Rhinolophus ferrumequinum: one gene and its partner. The protein of the gene in region 2 binds, or shares a complex with, the protein of the main gene of each other region. Links are inferred from orthologs where the notes say so. Each region holds a gene or a part of one and is shown on either strand. Other genes may lie near its edges.

Region 1 (8,003 bases), on a different chromosome or scaffold from region 2:
AATAAGCACAAAGCCAAATACCGAAAAATCATTTTTATATTGTTTTTGGAACTAAATGTGCCATAATACTCTACTATTCCAATAAAACTCTTCTTTTTTCTTCTTTTCAGTGAGATCCAATTCTTTTTTTTTCTATAGAGTATTTAAACACCTAAGTCAAATCATTCTACATCACAGTTTATGTGACATTTCTTCTGCTATTTTAAATACCGTACCACAGTGATTCTTAAAGAGTGTCATAGGACACTTTCACAAAAAGGGAGAAAATTTCAGCCCCATTTTTCTACATACCATAGACAGATTTCCCAAGAACAGTGAAGACTGTGTAAACCGGGGAGACCTCACTCCTGTTCCAAGAATGCTGGAAATATCTGGCTGCCTGAGTAAGCTTCGGTTTGGTGGAGTAACTACAAATAAAAGGTTAGTAAAAAACTCATCCAGAGTGCATGAGCATTGATCATGAAAACAGAACAAACAAACAATATGAAGAACAAATAATTTTCAGTTGTCAATTATTTAGATTCTAATCAAATAAACATGTTAAATATTAACATTTCCATGATATGAAAATTTAACTTATTTTGGTACTACTGAGCCCATCAGGAAAAATTTTACTACAAATAGATATGCTTTCATTATAACATAACTGAGCAGTAAAAAAGGACACTAATGAGTCAATAGATTCTTCGTATTTTAATTTTATAAAATAGCACACTGAAGAGGCAGTATAGAATAGAGGGCACGAGTTTTGAAGTAAGCAGATCATTATTTAAATTTTGGTTCTATTACTTACATACTTAGTTATGTTATCAGCATTAATTAACTTCTTAGTTTCACTTTCAGTTTTGGCAAAATAGAGATAATACCTATGTCCCAGTTATTGTGTATGTAAATTAGTGCCTTACACATGGTAAGAGTTCAACAAATAGTAAATGCAATCATTATTATTTATTCTTAATTACTAATGTTTCAACCAAATATATTTATTATGTGTATAAGTGTTAGCTGCTATTATTACTATTATTATTATTATTATTACTACATGCTTTAAAAAAATCTTACAAGGCGGTCGAAATGAGCTGGGAGTTCGAGGGAGAACCTGGTTTCTTGGTGTAGTATTAGCAAAAATTTCATCTTGGGATGCCCGAACTATTGGAAGTTAAGAAAAGTTTTCCATGTAGAAAAGACATCCAAAAAAAAAAAAAAAAAAGACACCATTAAAGTTAGAATTACCCACATTTACACTATACAAAATATGTGATACATTTTTAAAGGACAAGGTATTTTATGGCTACCATTTTTTCCTATGCAAAGAGTAAATAATTACATCACTTACTTTCTCAGATATGTCTTAAGATTACTACACATTACACTAAGAGTTCCTAGTCAGATTTCAAATTTAAAAAGGCTATCTAACCTCCACAAAAGCTAACTACAATATAATAGCAGTAAAATCGAGCACCCTTATTTTCAGGAAAATATAAATCTAATCTCACTGAATTTCAGCATTGTATTTACCAAATAACATTATCTGGGGAGTCAAAAAAATAATTTCTGCAGCATTTTATTATTATAGCTAGTGTTTAATGTCTCTCATAAAAAGAAAATTCTATAATCCTGATCCCAAACACTCTGCAATTTTTATAATGATGCTTAAAATGCAAAGGATACTTAAAACTCTTTTTTGAGCACTCTGTTTCCGTGCAGTCCGTGTCACCTCTGCCTCCCGGATCACAGGGGATAACATCTCTCCAAAGCCACTCCTAAAAGCATAATCAAGCCCACGTGAATGAAACGAGAATGTAGCACTTGCAAAGAACTCCATCATCAGGACTGGAGCAAAGGACCCAAGTCAGTCAAGGTACAGATCATTCCAGTAGCCATGTCTTTGCTTTTTTTGTTGACAGTGCCCTCTGGCTCCAAATCCTACTTATCCCTCAAAGTCCTGCTTAAATTTTACCTGCACAGACTTCTTTAAGACTTTCTAGCACTCACTGTTATTTTCTCCTTTGCAATTATTTCAACACTTGGAATCTATATTACTGTTTTAGATAATTGCTTCATGAAGGTAAATTTTTCCTCAGTTGGATTGAGGAGTTCCCTAAAATTACTGGATTATATCTCTTAAAAAGGATTTTCTGTGGTTTCCAAAATACTTCAAACCATGGAAACTATGAAGAAATTTATTGCTTTATTTAACTGGTGAGATGGGAGGCTAAGTAAAAAAAGAATTCTAGTAAACTGGAGAAAATAATATTTCAAGTTATTTCTCTCTAGGATACACTAAGGATGTCTCCTGTCTCAGCACTTTGTAGTCACAATGCTTCAGATCTCCTGTCATTCTCAGCCCAAGGGCTATAAAATAAATTGTGTGAATTAAGAGACCTGTATTTTAAAAGAAAAATCTAATATGCTTCTCCACTTAAAACCTTCAGATAGGTAGCTACCTCTGGCCTACAGAATCAAGTCCAAATTTCCTACCATGGTTTGTACAATCTGACCTCAGCTTACCGGTTCACGCTTATATTCAGCTACAAACATCACCATACCATACAAACATACATTTGACCATTCAGCTACACAAAGCATGCACTTGGCATATCCTTACATCTCTGTACACGTTGCTTCTTTTAGAGGCGGACATTTGCCCCCTTGGTCCACCTGGTGAACACTTACTCACTGAAAAGCTTCCCTACAGGCTGGCAACTTGGTTCTATTTATTATTAATAGTTTCCCAACTTTGACCAAGCTTCTTAACCTCTTTTAACCCCAGTGTTATCTATGAAAAGAGTACCTATCCTCACAGGATTGTTACGAAGATTAGCTAACGATACAAAGTGCTTAAGGTACTCAATGTTAGCTATTATTATTCAAAGACCAACTAGAAAATTACCTCCTTTGAGAGGTTTTCCTGATACCTCCCGTAACAGGGAGACTTAATTGTTTCATTTCCTTTCCCACAGGGCAGTAGAAAACTGCCTGATCGTCTCCTCCACTACACAGCGACTACCCCGAGGCCAAGAACCTTGAATAAGGCATCTGTGTCGCAGGCGGCCAGCGCAGTACCAGGGTCCTAGGAAGAACTCAACTCAGTAACTATCTGATCGCTGGAACTTGTAATCAGCAAGTCTGGGATGAGATTCCCAGTTGCCTCACTGACTGGCTTTGGGATCTCGAGCAGGTCACTCTAGCATCTCGAATGCCGGGCCACCTCCTACCCCGCCCACCCCAGAAGCGAAAAATGTTCCGCGAAATGGCAGAACAATGACAGAGCTCCGTAGGAACGCAAGGGATTATCATTATCCGTATCCCTCTCCCAACCTGGCGGCCTTTCTTCCATCAGCTGCAGAATCTCCCAGCCCGGGAAAGTCCTCGAGTCAGCACCCGGGCCTTCCCTGGCTTCCTCTGGAAGTCGAGTTCCACTTGTTTCGTTCCGCCAACAAGCAGGAGGGACAAGTTTCCAAGCTCAGCAGTCACCACCTGAACTGACCTGTTCATGGCTACAGCCTTCTCCACCGGGAACCTTGTAAATTGGGATCCAGTTTAGCCACCGCGTTTCAGCCTTCCCGCTCTCCGGAAGCAAACCCTTCGACCCGGAAACAGTCCTCGTTCAGTTGCCGTGGAGAAAAGAAGTGTCGTCGGGGAAGAAACAACTTTCCCAAGGAGCGCCGGCGCAACTTCCTCCAAGCGCATGTCCGGTCTGCGCAGGCGCGACGGCGTGCCAGCTTGTGGCGTAGGGCGGGGCGGGGCCGGGGGCGGGACCGGGCAGGGGGCGGGGCCGGGCCGGGTTTAGCCTTGATGCGCGGCCGCCACTTTGCCTGACTGGCATTTGTGGGCGTGGTCCAGGCGCCGGGTTATCCTGGGACTATTTACTGGGAAATTTGACGTATACTGATAGTTTAGAAAAAAATGTGAAGTCATGTCCTGTGACAAAGAGCCTGGATTTGGGTTTCAGACGTTTAGACTCTGCCCTACACCTCGGGGGTTCGTCCCTCTCTCTCACAGTACTCACTGAATTGTACTGTAAACCCCCTACAGGTTTTGAAATTGTTTTCCATATGCCTATTCTTTACTCGGTATGTTTCCCTAGTAAGGAAAACAGGATCACCTGTCTTAAAAAGCAGGAAAGGTGATGGTATTATCCTCTATTTCAAAGTGCCATATAGACAAAAAGTAGTACATCCTGGCCCTGAAGGAATTAGTCGATGTTTTGCCGTAGGCATTTACAGTCTGCTCTAATCCTGGGAAACGTCATACTTTATTCCTGCTGAGACAACATGACGTTTTTTAAAAACACGTGGCTTTGGTCTCCATTAGGTTCGAACTCCCTGCCACCGCAGATTCCTCATCTGTGGAATGGAAATAACGCCTTTATCACCGAGTTCTTTTGAGGAGTAAAATCAAGATGTCAAATGTACACTGCACATAGTAGTCACCGAAGTGTTAATTTTCTCCTCGTTCAATAATCTTACTTGACGAGACCCGCAGTGGTGCTCTCTCATTCTTCCCATCTCCTAATTTTCTTGTATAAAAGTGGACTTGTTCTTTTATGGAAAATGAAATGTGATCCTAATGATTTTTGTCAGTGCCAGGGCAAGTTTATTCTAAGTGAGCCAGTGGTTCAGGTTCTTGCCATATGTTTCCTGGCAATTGAATTCCAATGTGTTGTGTTTTTTTTTTTTTTTCATGTAATGGACTTGAAGTGATTGACCATAAGGCACACAATAAAGCGGAAGAGCAGTTTTGGGCAAAGGATTAACAGAATGTTCAGTTCATATGCCATAAGGGAACACTTGTTGAAAAGTGCACTGGTCTTCATTTTTGACACACTCAATTAGTGGGCATGAACACCATACAACCCTAAAATATTTCAAAATATATTCATTCATTTGATTTCTTTTAAAATGCGTGGCACAAACTTGTATGGTGCATATTGCATACATTCTAGCTTTATTTTTAGGGTTCTCGGTTTCAATGAGAGAAACTCACTATAGTTAACTTAAGCAAAAGGGATTTTACTAGAAACCTATCAGGAGCTCACAGAAGCTGGAGGAAAGCTTGGCAAAGAACAGCTGCTCAGGAACTAAAGGCCAGGAAGCAGCCATCCCCAAATACTCAAACCACTGTTTCCTCTCCCTCACCACCAACAGCTGAGGAAATCAAACATCATTGCTTTCCCCGCCTCCCTGACCCTTTATTTTGAAAAAATGTCAAACCCACAGAAAAGCTGTAAAAATAGTAAAATAGGTATTAATATACTCTTGACTAATTGCTAACATCTCCCAATAAGTGTTTTCTCTCTCTCTTTTGTTTTTTGCCTGAACCATTTGGAAGACATCTAGACACGTCACCCCTAAGTACTTCAGAATGCATCTCCTAAATCAAGGACAAGACATTCTCCTACCTAACACAATAAAATAAACACTCAGAACTGTTCACATTGACAAAATATCACAATTAACATATTCAAATTTCCCCAATTCTCTTAATAATGCTCTTTATAACAGCTCTGCTCCAATACAGGATCCAGTAGAGCATTATATATTTAGTTGTCATGTCTTTTTGTTCTACTTTAGTTTAGCATAGTCCCCACTTTTTTTTTCCCCAAGAGTTCAAACCAATTTTTGCAAAATATTCCTCAATTTGGATGTTTTCTCCCAGTAAGCATTTTAAAAAACTATTTGGAGGGACAGGTGCAGGAATACAGAGGGTGCCGAAACAATGTACAGTATATACATTTTAAGAAAACACTGGATTAAAATTATAATACTCAATATATACTGATATCAAAAGCTGAATACAAGTCACATGTATACATTTTTTGGCTCCCCCGTACTACATAGGTATTGTTGAGTACTTACTTAATCACATCAGATGGCATATGGGGTCAGTTTGTCTCAGTTTCAAAATCTGCCTGACCTCTCTCCTCTCTGAAAAGAAAGCATCCTTTCACCTGGCACTCCTTTCTAACTGTTGCCTTTTCTCTGTTCCCTTCCCAGCCAAACTTGTTTTGGTTGCATTGTAAATGTAAATGACTCAGCCTTCGGGAGATTTGCCTATCTGGCAATGGCTCTACCTCAAATTCTATATTCTACCCATTTTCAACTATAATTCCCAACATTCTGTGGCCATTTGGCATATATTCTCCACTCCTACAGACTGGAAGAAAAAAGGGATAAACCAATGCCCACCTCATTGCCTGCTATGCAGTCATTACAAGGATGTTTAGAGAGAGTTTTAGTAACTTGGAAGTGTTTGCTTTAAATGAAGGGAGCAAGTTGTCATATATATCAGTATGCTCAGAAACAATATAAAATGCGTAAGACATACTGAAGCAGGGGGTGGAGTGAGGATGATGAAGGGATGAATAGGCAGATAGGGCAGTAAAAATACTCCGTATGATGCTATAACGGTGAACACATGCCATATATGTTCATACCCATAGAATGTGCAACACCAAGAGCGAAGCGTTTTGTAAACCATGGACTTTGAGTGATTATGGTATGTAAATGTAAGTCATCTCTTATAACGAATGTCCCACTCTGGTGGGAGATGTTGATAATGGCAGAGGCTGTGTATGTGTGCGGAGAGGGGGTATATGGGACATCTCTAAACCTTCTCAATTTTACTGTGAACCTAAAAGTGCTCTAAAAAAAAAAAAAACACAAGTCTTTTTAAAAATATATTTGTACAAAGATCATACCAAATGTTGATAGTGGTTGTCTTTGGTGAGACTGGATGATTTTGTTTTTATTGTCCAGTTCACTGTGAGGTGTTTTATTTAAGACAATTTATTTTCATAGCATGGCCCAATTGAAATTCAAACAAATGTCTTAAGGAATTCATTAAGAATTCCAATGAGTCAGATATGAGTCTAGTGAATTAAATTATGGAAGGTGCTTAAACAGTTTTTGTCATGTCCAAAAGACAATTAGAAGGATTCTAATACAGTTGTAGGATACACCGCAGTTATATAAAACAAAAGGAAGTACTTAGAGTTTAACAGCTTGTTCAGCTATGAGATGGTGTTTTTTGTTGTTGTTTTTGTTGTTGTTTTTTGTTGTTGTTGCAGTTTTGTTTTTTGAGCTCAAAACATTGCAAACAAGCTATTGTAATTTAATATTATTTTTATCTAAAGAAGTAGAATTACAGAAAGATTAGTAATTTACTTCAGGTCATAGATTTGAACTAAATTGAACCACAAGCCAAAAGTATAGTAAATAACAATGAATCATGAATTGAACAGAAATATCAGTTTTTGGCTGAACCATGAATGAACCACAATACGCAGGTTTTAAAACATGGCTTGGCTCAGGAAACAATATTGCCTGGAGGTTAAGAGCACAGTCTTGGAAATCAGGCTTGCCAGGTTTGAATCTCAGTTCTGCAGTTTATAAGCTATTTGACTGTTATAAACCTCACCTCTGTAAATGAGAATATTCTCTTAGGATAGCTATGAGGACGAAATATAAAAATAACAATAGAGCAAAGTGGTCAATAGCTCAGACTCCAGAGCTTGATTGCCGGAGGTCACATCCTAGTTCCACCACTTAACGAACTACGTACGTGACCTTGGGTGCAAGTGTGTGCCTTAGTTTCTTCTTGGGTGTAACAATAGTACTAGATCATAAGGTTGTTATGAGGATTTAATGAGTTACTATGTGTAAAGCCTTAGAATAGTACTAGGCATATTATACATGTGTTCAAAAATGATCTAATTTGTATTTATAATAATTATCAATTCATTTGACAACATCAAACTTGTGACATAGTGATAGAGGCATTAGTAACAGATCGAATTGATCCAATTTCAATCCTTTTTTTCTGTGATGCTGCAATAATAGCACAAGCATTTTTTCCTGCCTATATGAAGAGCTCGAAATAATTAATACTTTATATTGATGAATATAAATATGATTGCAAAGTCTCCTTTTGTTTTCCATTTAAAGAGGTTCAGTGGAAATAATCTTGAAGTATATTTTACTCCTCCATTCACAAATATT
Region 2 (8,045 bases):
TCCTGTGCATTTTCCAGCTTCTAGAGGCTGACCATGTTCCTTGCTTATAGCCTCCTTCTTCATCTTAAATGCCAGCAATGTCACATATCTTTGACCTTTCTTCTGTCCTCACATCTTTCTGACCTCAGCAGGGAAAGGTCTCTCCTTTGAGGGACTATGAGTAGTTAGGGCCCACCTGCGTGATCCAGGCTTCTTTCTCCATCTCTACATCCTTAACCTTACATGTACAAAGTCCCTTTTACCATGGAAGTAACATTCACAGGTTCCAGGGATCAGGAGGTAGACATCTTTGTGGGGCCATTATTCTGCCTACCATAATCTGAATTAAATATTTTTGGCAAGAATACTTCATATGTTCTTAGCAGCATTTTCACAGTAGCCAGAAAGAGGAAACAACCCAAATGTCTGGCAACTGATGAATGGATACAGTGTTGTATATCCATACAATAGACTATTGTTCAGCCATAAAATGGAATGAAGTACTGATTCATGCTACACCATAGATGAACCTTGAAAACATTACGCTAAGTGAAAGAAGCTGGACACAAATGGACACATATGTATGATTCCATTTATATGAAATGTCCAGAATAGGCAAACATAAAGTAGATTAATGGTTTCCAGGGGCTGAGGAGGGGGAAATGAGCAGTGGCCACTAATGGGTATGGGATTTCTTTTTGAACTGATAAAAATGTCCCAAAATTAATTGCGGTGATGTTACACAACTATGTGAATAAGCAAAACTCATTAAATTGTACACTTTAAAGAGGCAAATTTTATGGCATGTGAATAATATCTTAACAACGTTGTTTAAAAATGCCTTACAGATGATGCTGTATTCTTCACTTTGTATCACACCAGGAGGCATTTATATCTGGTTGTCCTTAGTAATGAGAAATGCTAAGGTTGAACTCTGGGTTAAGGTGGTGGCAACTGATGGAAACTGTATTTTTAACAAGTGCTTCAGAAAAGTTATCTACCTTACAAGAATACTACTACCTTGTAAGGATGTTATGAGGATGAAATTAAAATGTGACATACTTAGTAAATTTTAAATATGGTAGGTAGAAAAAGTCCCCACCCCAAGGAAGATGTTCACATCCTGATCCCTGGAATCTATAAATGTGTCACCTTACATAGTAAAAGGAACTTTGCAGATGTGATTAAATTTAAGGGTGTAAAGATGGGGAAATTACTTTGTATTATCTGGGTGGAATCTCAGAAGCTTGAAATTCTGACTCAGGAAAAGTTTTAAATGGTAGTTTTGTTAAACAATGAAGTATTTTCATTCAGCAACATTAGAACATTTACCAATATTGATTGTTCCTACAAGGAAATACAACTCAGCTTTCTCCCATTCCGCAGACCTACTCCTCTTCTACCATTCCCACCGAGTTAATGGCACCCAGTTGTCAAGGCAAACAGGAGTCAGCCTGGATGACTAGACCTTCTCTTATTTTCATTCTTCACCAGATCCAACTGATTTTATCTCCTAAATATTCCTTCAAATTTACTCTCATCTTCTCCATGCCACTCAGGACTTCATCAACTTTTGCCTGGACCATTCATTTCTCAAATATTTACTGAATATTTGCCTCTTATGGGCCAGGCATGATTCTTGGAGTGTGGAGTCTAGTAGAGGGGTGGGGGATAAGGATTCAGAAAGCAAGGAGGCAATTTAGGAGGCTATTACAATAATCCAGGTGAGCTGTTGGCAGTTTAGACACAGGGTGATGGATGGCACAGAGAAGGTGAGATGGCACTGATCTAAGGTAAAAGAGAAAGAGGACTCAATGATGACTCCAAGGATTTTGGCTTGAGGCACTGGAAGGATGCCAGTAGGTGAGATGTGGAAATAGTGTTAGGGGAAGAGATCAGGACTGCAGTTTTGGACATATGTGACTTTAATTTTAGACATATTAATGTAGGCAATTGGATATATATATATATATATATATATATCCAAAAAATGTATACACATTTTAAGAAAGGAAAACTGTATTATAATTGTAATACTCAACATGTACCCATAACAAAAGATGAATACAAGTCACGTCTGACTTCTGCAATTACAAGAGGTGCTCAAAGTGGTTACCATCAGCTTAATTTTTATAGTTTTTTTCCTTTCTTAAAAGGAAAAGGTACCCTCTGTATATATGCAGTTGGATATATAAGCTTGGAGTTCAGGCGAAAGATTTGGACTGGAGATATACATTTGGGAACTACATATCCAGCATTTAAAACCAGAAGACTGGGTAAGATCCTCAAGGGAATGTGTATAGACAGGACCAAAAAATGGGCTCTGGGGCACTCCCAACATTAAGAGGTAAGGGAAAAGAGATACAACTAGCAAAGGAGTCTGAAGAAGAGTCAGTAAAATAGGAGGAAATTAAGGGAGTGTGGTGCCCTGGAAGCCATGTGAAGAAAGTGTTTCCAGGAGGAAGGAGCAATCAATTGATCAAATGTTAAAGGTGGTCAATTAAGTTTACAGTATTAGATACAGTAACAAGGATGTCATTGCTGACCTTGACAAAGGCCTAGAGAAGGAAGGTTTAAGAGAGAATAAGAGAAAATTAAATAGAATGACCTTGAATTTTGCAGTCAAGGTGGGGAGGGGCTCCAACCTTGTAGGTAGTAACTTGAGAGCTCAAATGAAGGCTTTTTGTGATGGGAGGAGAAATAACAGAATGTGTGATTGGAGGAACAACGCAATGAAAAGGGGGGAAACTGAAGATGTAGGAGAGACAATTGCTGGAATGATGTCCTCGGGCAAGTGGTCTAAGGAAAAAGTAGAAAGATTGTTCTTCCATAAACTCAGGGACACTTCTATTTATAGTAACAGGAAGGGAAGGCAGAATATGTGGATACAGCGGGCTGGTAGGTAGGGAGAGGTGGTAGTGGGGGAAAACTCTTGATTGCATCATTTTTCTAAGTGCAGAAGCAAGCTGAGAGTGAGGATGGGAGAGGAGGTGTTGCAGGTTAGAGGAGCTGTGAAATATTCATCGAGGACAGTAAGTGGACAAGGGATATACAGTGTTTGTGGGGCAGCAGTATGGGCCCACTCAACATTCTGAGTCATGATGGAGGCAGAGGGAGGTATGTCAGTATGACTGTATTTTCCTGCAGGCCTGTTCAGCTGCAGATTTGGATTTGATCACAGTTGTAGATTTTATCAGAGTATGATGAATTCCCTTGCCCAGAGCTGGGCAAGGGAGTAGTCGTACCTCAGTTTCGAATGTCTCCATTGACAAACATTTCGGTTTACGACCGCTGTAATTTTTTTGATCTATGGTATCATTAGACAGTAAAATTCATGCTGAATTTGCAGTTTTAGGGATTGATTTTAAAGGTCTGGAAAGGATTAATCCATTTTGCATTACTCTCTATGGGGAAACTACACCTCAGTTTTCAAACGTTTCAGAACTTGAAAGGTCCTCCGGAATGGATTACGTTCAAAAACCGAGGTACCACTAATTTAAATAGAATTTAAGCAGAGCAAGAAGGAAACATCAAATGAGTAACAGTGAAATGATGATTGTAGGTGGAATGGAGGGATTGCATTGCTAGAGTTGGTGTTCTAGGAGAGAAGAGAGTGGGCAGAATAGGATGAATGAAACAGAGGACAGATAAGGTTTGCGGTCACTGGTAACACCAAAAAAATAACAGAAGTGCTTAACAAACCGTTAACTATCAAGACAGTAACTTTGCCCCCGCAAAATTAGCATTTTCCTCAATATTGAGCATCTACTTTGCCCTAGATAGGGGTAAAACCACAGTAACCTCCACACATCCAGATCACGGGTGCGAAGAAAAGCAAATTCGTGTATGCCAAGAAATCAGCATTTAGGTAATCTCAGCAGGTTGCAGCATCAATATTTAATTGAACCCATTATGTTTCATCCTACAAAAATACAGGAATACAGTCTCTTGAAAAAATTCCAACGCAAAGCAAAAGGCCCCTCTGCCCTACACTCCCCCTCACCCGATCCCACGTGTCACAGAAGGGTGAAAAAACCGAGACCCGACGGAGATTCACAGACGGACACTCAGATTCACCGAAAGGGGATCGCAAAGTCGGAATCCGGCAGAGGGCGCCATGGCCTCCCGGACATCGTCCTCGGAGGAGGTTCATCCTGCCGCCCGCGCCGTGGTTTTTAAAATGGAACCCAGCCCCGCCCCCCGCCCTGGGGCCGCCGGGAAAAGGGCTCCGCCCCACCCCCACGACCGGAGGCGTCCAGGCCGGCCAAGCGAAGGTTCCCGCAGAGGGAGTCGGCTCCCTCTGCCCCTTTCTCTTCTGTTTTTCTCCCTGCCAACCCTTCTTCTCCAGCCACTCGGAGGAGCCCCGGAAGACACAGTTGAAGCTGCCATTCTTCTCCCCGGCAATCTCCGAGTGTCCTCGCCTCCGCCTGCCCCGCCCCCGGAAGTGACGGCAACCACTCGGTTGTGCTGGTGTCCCGTCGGGCCTCGCGGCGGCGGCGGCGGCGGGAAGATGGCGGCGGCGGGATCCCTGGAACGGAGCTTTATAGAGCTCAGCGGTCCGGAGCGCGAAAGGCCGAGGCGCTTTCGGGAATTTACAGTTTGTGGCGTTGGTACGGAAGCAGCCAAAGAGGGCGCGATCCGATCCTTCCTCTCAGGCTCCTCCCATGAGTCCCTAAATCTCTGATCCCCAGTTTATCCTTTTAAGTCCACATGCCTATAGCCCCGAGATCTGAGCTTCCTTAGTGTCCCATTTCCTCTTTCTCTTCTTCCCCTTCTCTTCGTATGGATTATCAGTCTGTCATCCTCTGCTTTCTCGGCGCCCTCAGTTCCTGTCATCCTCAGAGAACCACGTGTGCAGGCTGACCCCTCTCCTTTTGCAGGGACTTCAAATGCCTTGACCGGAACCGTCAAATACAGTGAGAGCGCTGGAGGCTTCTACTATGTGGAAAGTGGCAAGTTGTTCTCTGTCACCAGAAACAGGTTCATTCACTGGTAAGTGCTGTGTTCGCCAAACCCCGCTGGAAAGTCGAGTTGGTGTCTGAATGTTCGTGGCTGTTTATAAAGGCTGTCCCGCTGTTCTCCGAAGCAGTAATTGACAGGAAGAGAAAGACTGTCTTCTAATTGTATCTGAATCAGGAGATTAAGGAGACCAGAGTTCTAAGAGAGGTTCCCTCCCAGGGCAGCACTAAAAGCAGAGGAAATGTAGCTTAGGGGATAGAGGCCCAAAGATCAGTTTTAAACATCAGTCCATTGTGTTTTTATAGTGTTTCCCCGAAAATAAGACCAGGTCTTAAATTAAGTTTTGCTCCAGAAGACGCATTAGGGCTTATGTTCAGAGGATGTCCTCCTGAAAAATCATGCTAGAGCTTATTGTCCCGTTAGGTCTTATTTTCGGGAAAATACAGTAGTGCTTTACAACTTCATTCTGCAAACGTGTGAGCTTTTACACATCAGGCACTGTGCTAGGTATGCTAGGGATTAAGTGATGAACAAAAACCACCACCATTTTCATCATGCAAGATGTTGTAGCAGTGTTAGCTGTGGACTCACCTTTCGTTGGGCTGTTTAAAGAAGGGAAAAGACATTAATGACACAACATAAGTATAACAATACAAATGTTTCATACCTGCTTCAGAAGAATAGTGTAGAGGCTATGAGAGGCTAAGGGCGGACCACATTTTATTGGTGGAGCTGAGAAGGCCTTTAAGGAGGTCATATTTAACCTGAGATCTGAATGGTTAGCCAGGCAGGGGATTGAGGAAGAGAGCAGTTCGGCAAGTGGGATCAAAATGTGCCAAGTCCATGAGGTGGAAAGAACTTGGCAGGTTTGAGGATCTGACCGAAGGTCTGTGACTTAAGTGCAATGGGCGAAACAAAATAATGTGAGAGATGCTGAGATGGGGAGGGAGGCAGAACTCATTATGAAGGACCCTGAGGTCCTTTTTAAGGATTTTGGATTTTATCCTAAGTACGTTGAACAATTATTGAAGGGTTTTTAATGGTTACTAACATGATCAGAATTGTATTTTTTTAAAAATTGGCTACTTTGTGGAAAGTGGATTTGGGTTAAATATATGTAATACAAAAGAACAATTTGCCTTTATGATGGCCCAAGTAAGAGATACTGGTTGTGAGAATGGCTAGGAAAAGAGAAATGGATGGATTCCACATACATTGAGAAGGTAGATTCACTAGGACTCTGTGATAGATTGAATATGGAGTGGGAGGTGATAAGGGAAAAGGAGGGAGCAAGGATAACTCTTTGGTTTCTAGTGTGACTAACCAGATGTATAGGGCAGAGGGGTGGCCATTTACTGAGATATAGAAGATGGGTTTTGAGAGATTTGAATAATTCTTTTAGACGTACTAAATGTGAAGTATTTGCAGCAGCCCTTTGGCAATATTAAATAAGTGCTGAAATTTAAAGGTCTGCGGCACAGAAGAAAGACCTATGTTAAAGATACACATCTCATTTCCTTCAGAAAGATGTTTGAGTTCTTAATATGTTACAGTCAATGTTTAGAGACTGGGGATGTGGCAGGGAACAAAGCAGACAAAGTCCCTGCTTTCGTGGAGGGAAACAGGCCCTAAACAGTAATAAGGAAAACAAGTAAATGCAGCTTATCAGGTGACGAGTGGAACAGAGACTAGGGAAGCAAGATAAGAGGGAAGGGGAATGCCTGTGGAAGTTAATATTTACATCGGGTAGTCAGGCAAGACCCAGTGATAATGGTGACATTGGAGCAGAGGAGTAAGGATGTTTGAGTGATGAGAATTTCAGGTAGACCCTTCTAAGGAAAAAAAGTGCAAAGAACCCTAAGACAGGAGCTTGTGTGTTGTGTTCAAAGAATGACAAGGGTACACGAGTCTGTAGACGAGTGAACAAAGGGTAGAATAATAAGAAAGGTAGCCAAGGACCAGGTCAGGGCTTTGTCGGTTATTTTAAGGCCGTGACTTTTACTCTTAGTGAGATGGAAAGAAGCCATTTGAGAGTTTTAAGTGAAGGAATGGCATAATCTAAGTTGTGTTTTTAAAGGATTGCTGTGGCTATGGGTTGAGAACAGAGTGTAGTGAGAAAAGGGTGGGAGTAGGGAGACCATTTAAGAAGTTGGTGCCACAATTCAGACGAGATGATGATGGCTTAGACCAGGGTGGCATTGGTAGAAGCAGTGAGAAATGTTCTGGTTGTGGACATGTTTTGAAGGTGGATTTGTTAGAATTTACCATTGGATCAAATATGGGGTATACAGAAAAAGAAGAGTCATGGGCGATCTCCAGATTTCTCTATTGAGAAGTTATAGAGATGCCATTACTGAACTGGAAAAGACTGTGTGTGAAGTAGGTATTTTTGTTTCTGTTTTTCAGGTTTGTTGGGTCCAAGAATTCTATTCTGGACAGGTTTTGATCGAGATCCCTGTTAGATAGCCAAGTGGAAGTGTTGAGGCAGAGGTCAGGAGTTCAGTGGAGACATTGGGCTGAAGATACAGATTTGGGAATTGTTGGCATTGGGTGGCATATAAAGCTGTTATGCTGAATGAAGTCATGTAGAGAATGAGTATAAATCAGGGTTTGGAGGGATTGCACTTGGAGGCAGATAAGTCTTGGTTGTGGGGGCTTCCTGTACGTTGTAATGTGTTGAGCGGCATCCCTGGCGTCTACCCCCTACGTCCCAATAGTGCACACACATGCACGTGTACGCGCACACAGTCGGTTGTGACAAGCAAAAGTCCAGATATTGCTATATGTACTCGGGGAGTGGGGCAGAATGGCCCCCAGTTGAGAACCTGTGTTGATGAGGGAAGAGGCCTGAGCACTGAACCCTGGGGAACTCCAATGTTTAGGCAGAAGAGGAACCAGTAAAGGAGACCGAGAAGAAGTAGCTAGTAAGGTAAGTGTTGAACAAAAAGAGAGTGGTGTCCCAGAAGCTAAGGGAGACATTTCAGGGAGAAGGAGGCTGAAAAACTGCTGAATGCCACGTACAAGCCAGAGAAATGAAAATTGATCTTGCACCGTGGAGATCACTGGTGACCTTGTCAGCAACTGCTCCAGTAGTGGTGCAAAAGCCC

The links. Proteins that work in one complex are often made in the same cells at the same time.
Region 1: NUP160 (region 2) and NUP107 share a complex: the UniProt entries of both Homo sapiens proteins name them as parts of the nuclear pore complex. The link is inferred for Rhinolophus ferrumequinum from reciprocal best matches to the Homo sapiens genes NUP160 and NUP107.

The regions. Positions count from the first base shown.
Region 1 is NC_046293.1:64,886,707-64,894,709, reverse strand, and holds the start of NUP107 (nuclear pore complex protein Nup107), read right to left. Parts: upstream 3,673-8,003; 5' UTR 3,499-3,672; coding exon 3,491-3,498; intron 1,764-3,490; coding exon 1,672-1,763; intron 1,150-1,671; coding exon 1,063-1,149; intron 433-1,062; coding exon of another isoform or gene 408-432; coding exon 292-407; intron 1-291. UniProt on the Homo sapiens protein: Plays a role in the nuclear pore complex (NPC) assembly and/or maintenance. Required for the assembly of peripheral proteins into the NPC. May anchor NUP62 to the NPC. Involved in nephrogenesis.
Region 2 is NC_046294.1:13,505,448-13,513,492, forward strand, and holds the start of NUP160 (nuclear pore complex protein Nup160), read left to right. Parts: upstream 1-4,255; 5' UTR 4,256-4,489; coding exon 4,490-4,589; intron 4,590-4,859; coding exon 4,860-4,971; intron 4,972-8,045. UniProt on the Homo sapiens protein: Functions as a component of the nuclear pore complex (NPC). Involved in poly(A)+ RNA transport.